Linked DNA regions of Macaca fascicularis. The protein of the gene in region 2 interacts with the protein of the main gene of each other region in a biochemical or structural test. Links are inferred from orthologs where the notes say so. Each region holds a gene or a part of one and is shown on either strand. Other genes may lie near its edges.

Region 1 (3,746 bases), on a different chromosome or scaffold from region 2:
TGATAAATTTATTTGCATATTCATTGATTCAGCAAACTTTTAATGGGTGCTGAGGGAGGTAGGCCCAAGCTATGTGCTGGGTACCGAGGCTGAGAAAACAAGGGACAGAGTGGTGGAAGATGGGCCTGGGACTGTGAAACAAACAGAAAGCACCAGCCCTCTTTGATCCTTCTAGAAGGATTTTTTGTGGTGTCCCAATGATACCTTTCATTGACAATGGTTACCATTTCATTGAGCACCTCCTAAGTACTGCGCTGAACAACTGTGTTACTGCTAGTTCTGGCAATCCTGCAGGATAGGTGTTTTCTCTATTTACACATAGGAAGAGAAGCTCTGAGTGCCTGAGAGTGCCCAGCTTGTCATATACGATGCTTGGATTTGTGCAAGCATTGATCTCAGTGGCCTGGTAATTATAAAAGCTGAAGAACAGCTGAAATCAAGAACTTCTCCACCCCAACCCCTGAGGACATTACCATCTCCAAATGCCTTGGGACCACTCGGGTCTCTGGTGTTGCGGGACAGCTCTGTCCGGTCTGTGCAGTTGATTTATGTCTGCCTGCTTTTCGGAGTCATTGCCTTGCTGGGCAGAACTGCAGCTGGGGCCTGCCCTGTCCCATCCCCATCCCCCCGAAAGCAAAGATTTCCAATTACTGTTCTGCAGAAAATGTCAAAAGCATTATTCAACTATTCATTATCCCGGTTTTGTAATTTTTCGTACGTTTTTACTCTTATCTGCCAGCACTTGAAAAAGACCAGCTTTTTCCTCTTAAGAGAGCTTAACTTGCAGAGCTGTGCAGTCTTCCTATTATGTTCTTACCATCCTCTCCCTGTGGTAGGCAGAATGACAAGGATGACAAAAAAAAGAACCAAAAATATTTGAAGGCCTTCCTGAAAATCCACCGGAATGAAGGATCCCAAAAGCCTGAGGCTCCGTTCCTCGAGTGACCTGGACGGCAGCCAAGGGCGGCTGGCATTAGCTCTCAAAGTCCACGCAGCAGGAGCTCGTGGCTAGTACTCATGGGACCAAAACCACCACCCCAGGGCCATGGGATTTCCCCCAGGGGCTTAACTGGGGGATTAAGCAGCTCTGAGGTGCCAAGAGGTCCCCTCTCCCCGAAATCCTCATACCAGTGCTAAATTACCTTTGGTATCCCAAGGACCAGAGGCTAAGGGTAGCTTCGGGTGAGTGGTTAGCTCTTCTCCCATCTCCTCTGGCCTCTCCGCCCCATTCTTTGATAAGGCAATTGACATTTTTCTTTTTGCTATGTAAAATGCTATGCAGAGGCAACTTCACATCCCCTAGCTCGCTCTGTTCCACCTAGATGGCGCCCTAAGCCCCTCCTGTATGGAGATTCGGAGCAGCCATCTCCCTGGATGTCTTCCTCCCAAGATCCCCAGGTTTCTGAAACCGGCGCACCAGGACTCCTGGCTCACCCAGAGAGACTCCTTGCCCGCGACGGGGCTCGCTCGGGGAAATCCCCGCCCACCTTGTTATTCCTGCAGGGGAATCCCCGCCCCCCGTCCCTGTCACTCCGGGAAGGGAGTTCCCGCCCCTCGAATCAACCAGAGGGAGGGAATCCCCGCCCATCCCGGAGGCGCGGCGGATCCCTTGCGCAGCGCGGCGAGGAGTGGACTCCAGCGCCGGTGCGTGCCGGCCCAGGGCAGCGGGACGCGGCGGGGCGGCGGCTGCAGGCAGCGGAGGAGCCGCAGGCCGAGCCCAGGGCACCGGGATTGCGCCTCCCGCGGCTGCCGGCGAACCGCGGCTTTGCAGCTCGGGGCAGGCGCGGCGGCGGCACCGGTGGTGGCCGCGGTGGCGGCAGCTGCGCGGGGACCCGCCGGGTGGCGCCTGGGTCTGGACGTGCGAGGAAGCCGCGGGAGCCTCGGCCGAGCCGCGAGCAGGTGAAGCGACCGTCCCGCTGCAGCCGGGACGCGCCGGCTCCGGGTGGGCAGGGGATGGGGGAGGCTGGGCACCCCCGAGACCGTGTGTGCCCAGGAAAGTTTAGCGACAAATCTGGGTGCGGGAATCCCAGCCCTAGCAGGGCGAGGAGTGAGGACGCCGAACCGGGGTCCCACGTTGGGCGGCGCAAACTCCTCTAGCATCCGGCCGGGGACGGGGAGAGCGCAGCGCAGGGGAGGGGGCTGGACAGAGCGGGACCGAGACAGCGGGACACCCGGAGACTCATTGTACCCAGGACAGGGCCGGGAGCTCCTGCACGGGCGCGCATCCCGGGTCCCCATCCCTGGGCCGTCTTCTGGTCCCCTCTTCCGGCAGGAGCGGAGGTACTCAGGTACTCCGGCCTCAGGTAATGTCTTGGGGACCATCCTACCTCGGGCGTGTTTCATCTCTCGCCCCCTCTCTGCCCAGATGAGACATTAGACGCGGGGCGGGGGAGTGCAGAGGGCGCGCAAAGAGCAAGGGCATCTTAGGGCCGGTTATTGGCGTCTGCCGGGGAGATGGGGAACATAATGATAGGGAAATCCTGCCCTCTCTCTGAAGTCGAGTTTCTCCTAAAACCTGGTTTCCCCCTCCCTGTCTTCCTCTCTCCCTCCCTCGGGTTTGCGTTTGTGTTTTAAGTCTTTGAGCTGCCTGTGGTCCCCGCTATTTGGAAAATCCATGAAAGCGCAAGGCTGAATTGAGCAGCAGGAGGGTCCAGGACCCCTGGCAGGAATTTGCCAGAAGCTGTCCTCGGCAGCCCAAATCTATGCAGAGACCTTGATAAGGGACACTGGAGTGGGAGGAGGACAAGGTCTGGCATGGGCTGGTCGCAGAGACTGGAATGGCAGGCACGAGGGCATTCCAGAGCTCCAGACCTGCCCTGGGACTGGCGGTTGGGCAGTGTTGGGGGATGGAGCTGAGTCTGAGTCTGTCCTCTGCAGCTGGCTGGCCCAACCTCTTGCCTCCACCAAAGGTAGGGTAGGTGGATATGTTTGCCTTGACAAATCGCAATGAAACTACTGGAAGTGGTTGCTGAGTGGCTGCAGTAAGTGATGCCCTGATCTGTCCTTGCAGAGAGACCCCCTGGACCTTCAGGGCCTCTTCTCTAGTGGGGTCTCCCACACTGGAGGGCTTTAGGGGCCTGGCATCTCTACTGGGCCAGCTTTTGTGGGTTGTGACTTCTGGGTGGCCGCCAGATAGGTGCAGGTTGGCAGGTGTGGAGTGGGAGTGCTGCTTGTGGGGGCAGAAGAGAATGTTTCAGAACACACCCCTGGCTGTAGGTGGTGGTTCTGGCTTCATCAATTCCTTCTTCCATTAGGATGGGTCCAGAGCTGCTGCTCCTATAATAACCATCTAGTGGTGTGAGTGAGTGAGTGTGTGTGTGTGTTGTGGGGGTTAGGTGTAGGAGTAGGGGGCTGTCAGGTGCTATGAGAGGAAGAATCAGAACCATGTAAAGTATATAAATGCACCTACCTTGACATAGTTAATATGCTTCTGGAAAAATATTGAATTATACTTTAAATCTATCACTGAAATGGATTTTGCATGCACTTTATGGCAGTTTACTATTTAAGGAAACATGATAATTGCTCTATTCATTTCAATCATTTTATTTTTGGAATACCTGTGGTTTGCTGTGCTGGAGGCTGAGGAGGCTTTGAGGTTCCAGGATATGCTTAGATGAAAGACGTTCCCTTGCTGCTGTCAGTCTGTCAGTGTCCGTCCAGCAGGAGAAGGGCGAGAAACCTGCTGAGCACTATGGTGCAGACCAGTGCACAGGCTGCATGTAGTAGACGCCCTGTGTTTATTG
Region 2 (3,646 bases):
GTGCCGGCCTGGCTGCAGGAGGGCATGGTGGCAGGTTGCCATGGTGCCTGGTGCCACTATTTGCATGCCATTGGTTCTTTCTGACCTGTAGAGCCTGTCCTCCTCAGGAGGCCACTCTCCAGATCAAAGGGCAAGTCTCCAAAATTATAGGAGCAAGGACGTGGCAACTTAAGAAAATATCCTGAGAACCGTGAGAACAGAGTGGCTTGGTGTGGTAAAGGCTTTCTCTCTGGTTCTCCTAGGCTCATTCTCAGGGTGGTGCCCATGCTGCTATTTCCTCCAATTCTGCATCCCCACTAGAATCAGAGCCATCAGTACTTGAGTATCTACTGAATAAAAGTTCCTGGTTGAGGCACTGTAATCCCCCCAAACTCTCTGCCCTCTTGGCTGCAGTGCAGTCCACAGTCCCCACCCCCGGCACTAAGTGTTGCTGCACCTCTCTACACCCACTCCTGCTGCTGCCCTGTGGTTGGTCTGTCCCCAGCATGAGCCCCTTACCCTCTCCCTCCTGTGTCCGAGTGCAGGGCGTTCTGCTCATCATTTGTCAGCTGTGACGACCATCCAGGATCTTCCTGGGGACCGAGGAAAGTGGGAAGTACAGGAAAGAGAGACTGAAAGTGTCAGGACTTCCAAAGCGAGCCAGATACTTGGTGTCAGGATGGACTGGACTAGGAGAGGCCTTTGGAAGGTGTTGGATTGTAAGGGTGAGCCTGAGAGGAAAAAGGATGATAAGTGCCTGGGAAAAGAGAGAGGAATACAAGGGAACACTTTTTGTTTGAGCCTCATTGAACCAGGAGATCTGCAGATGAAATTGAGAGGAGTAAGCAAGTTGGAAAGGGAAGCTTGCTAGATAGGCAAATGCTGAACTTGGTTTTAGGCACTCAGTTAAATGACAGTTGGCCTCCCAATCAGAGGTGTGATAACAGTCTTTTAGGGAACAAAAGACCGTGTGCAGAAGGCAAATGTCAACAGGGAAAGACACCTCTGAACATGGCTCAAAAGAAGGGTGGAGTTGGGAGATTGAGAAGGAGGCAGACATGGAACTTGGGGATATGGTTGTCCCCAGGGAGGGAGTTGGGGCATCTGTTGTCATGCCAAGGATCTGCAGTAGTGAGAAGTGAGGCTCAGGTGTCTTGGGTGCAGCCTGCACGGCAGCAGCCCTGAGGAGAAACACTGGGCCGGAGCCTCATGCATTGCAGTCGGCATGAAGTCAGATCCTCAGCAGGACTGAGAAAGGCTCTGCATCCCGTCATCTGGGTATTCCACAAACACTCTAGAATCATAATTCCCTCTTCAGATTGTTTCAGGTTCCCAAAAATAAAAAGTAGTTCTTTCATATTTCCCATTTATTTCCTGTCTGCAGTGTTCAGTACAGAAGTGTTTTGCTCTAATGTGCTGAGTTGTTTTTAATTATATGCCATGCTGGGTTTCAGACAGTGGAGAACTGCGTGTGCACCCTGAGGAACCTGTCCTATCGGCTAGAGCTGGAGGTGCCCCAGGCCCGGTTACTGGGACTGAACGAATTGGATGACTTACTAGGAAAAGAGTCTCCCAGCAAAGACTCTGAGCCAAGCTGCTGGGGGAAGAAGAAGAAAAAGAAAAAGAGGACTCCGCAAGAAGATCAAGTTAGCATTTTATCTGATATGAGACTCACGTTTCATTTTTCTGGGAGTGAGGAATCACATATTTGGCAAGAAAATAAATTTTCTGCATAGCTATAGCTGAGTCCCACAAAGGTGAATGTTTTCAAGTATTGAAGATCATGTTCATTCTGCCTCCATTTAACGTGTGCTATTTGTCTTTCAGTGGGATGGAGTTGGTCCTATCCCAGGATTGTCAAAGTCCCCCAAAGGGGTTGAGATGCTGTGGCACCCATCGGTGGTAAAACCATATCTGACTCTTCTAGCAGAAAGTTCCAACCCAGCCACCTTGGAAGGCTCTGCCGGGTCTCTCCAGAACCTCTCTGCTGGCAACTGGAAGGTAGGATGACTTCCGCGTATCTACACTTCTTTCCATCTTTCCAAATTAACTTGAAATGTTACATGTATAAGTTCTGCCTCAGTCAGATCAGCCCTGATGATGAAATGGTCACAGTTACTTAGTTTGTCTGTGAAGGGGGTAAAGGGAAAAAAGGGAGACATGCAGTTGCTCTGGGGATCCAAAGATAAATACAAGTCCCTCACTGTGAGAAACAGAAGGCTAGTGAGAAAAATAGATGGTGCCAGCACAGTGTAGAAGCCACAGGATGTGTGTGTTGTGGGGTCCTGAAAGAAGACATCTAACCCAGCCACACAGTGTAAGGGAAGGTCAGGAAAAATGCGGAGTGAGGACATGGAGGAGATTTCCTGAAGGGGATGCTGCCCAGCAGAATCTCTAAGGATGAATGAAAGTAAGCCAGTAGAGGCTGAGGCTGCAGTGTAGAGGGAGCCATCCAGATAACAGGGACAATAGGAGGAAAGTATCGCGGTGCAGAGAAGACAGTGTGGGCCAGGACTACTGGCTGCCCTCTGGGGCCCAGTGTGGAGCCAGGCATCATGGATAGGCCTGAAGGCCAAATTTCAGGAGCTGAGTCCTAACCTGCACACAGGAGGGGCTACTGAAAGAGTCTGGGCAAATGAGTGACAGAGACGGGCTAATGTCATCACTGCTCACCCACTTACATGGCAGTGCAAAAGGTGGATTCAAGGAAGGGAGAGTTAGAAGCAGGGATTGCATTTGGGAGCCAGTGCAGCAGTACAAACAGGTGAGAGATCTTGAGTGGCAGAACAGAACACAGGTTGGGCAGTGCTGTGGGGAGGGATAGAGGACCTCACTCTGTTCCTCTCAGGTAGTTACAGACATGCCTGTGTCTAAGGTTTCTGCATCTCTTTGCAGATGTATGACTATAAAAACTGAAGACAGTTTCCTCTTGTTACCACTGTAAGCAAGTTCTCAGAACTTTCTAAATGTCCCCCAGCAACTTCCCAGACAGTCCTTGTCTAAGACATTTTCAACCTCTAGAAATTTCCTGACAGGTGTATTTTGTAGAGTTATTACAATGCTTGCTTTTGGCTACTTATCCCACCTTAACCCCCCAAAATGAGAATCTTTTGGTGATAGTGTTTTCAAGATAGTGAAAAGAATTGATAAACCTAGGTATGGTTTGTTTCATGCAAGTGGCCACTATGTTGAATATAGACCGATAACTATGGTCTAGTGCTAAGCCAGTATGGTGATTTTGTTGTGGCTCCTAGTTAAAGTGCCAGTGACTCCATGTGTAAGTGCTGGCTCTGAATCCAGGCAACTCTGCTTACCGTCTGGCAGCCTAGAGGCTCTGCCCACAGTTTCCACCTCCCTAAAATAAAGCGAATATTAATACCTGCCTTATAAGGTGGTTGTGAGGATTTAGTGAGATACTCCCAGCACATAGGTATTTATATAAACATTTATGTTGTAGAACAGCCTTCACCTTCAGCTTCTGTGACCAGAAGATTATTTGATGACACTAAAAAAGACAATAATTGAAATCGATGTGATTTGAGTTGTTTCGAAGTTCGTGTCTGGGATCATTTAGTGAGAGTTAGATGGCAAGCTCATTTAAAATATAAACATTATATCTAAGCGATTTCAATAGTGAGTTAAAATATTGGACCTTCACTAAGAAAAT

Evidence for each region. The genes of interacting proteins can lie anywhere in the genome.
Region 1: the proteins of PKP4 (region 2) and PDZD2 form a complex in vitro, tested with the Homo sapiens proteins (2 studies listed by BioGRID and IntAct, with this or other methods). The link is inferred for Macaca fascicularis from reciprocal best matches to the Homo sapiens genes PKP4 and PDZD2.

Annotation. Positions count from the first base shown.
Region 1 is NC_088380.1:32,238,289-32,242,034, forward strand, and holds the start of PDZD2 (PDZ domain-containing protein 2), read left to right. Parts: upstream 1-1,311; 5' UTR 1,312-1,345; coding exon 1,346-1,899; intron 1,900-3,746.
Region 2 is NC_088386.1:54,135,038-54,138,683, forward strand, and holds part of PKP4 (plakophilin-4), read left to right. Parts: intron 1-1,433; coding exon 1,434-1,625; intron 1,626-1,806; coding exon 1,807-1,980; intron 1,981-3,646. UniProt on the Homo sapiens protein: Plays a role as a regulator of Rho activity during cytokinesis. May play a role in junctional plaques.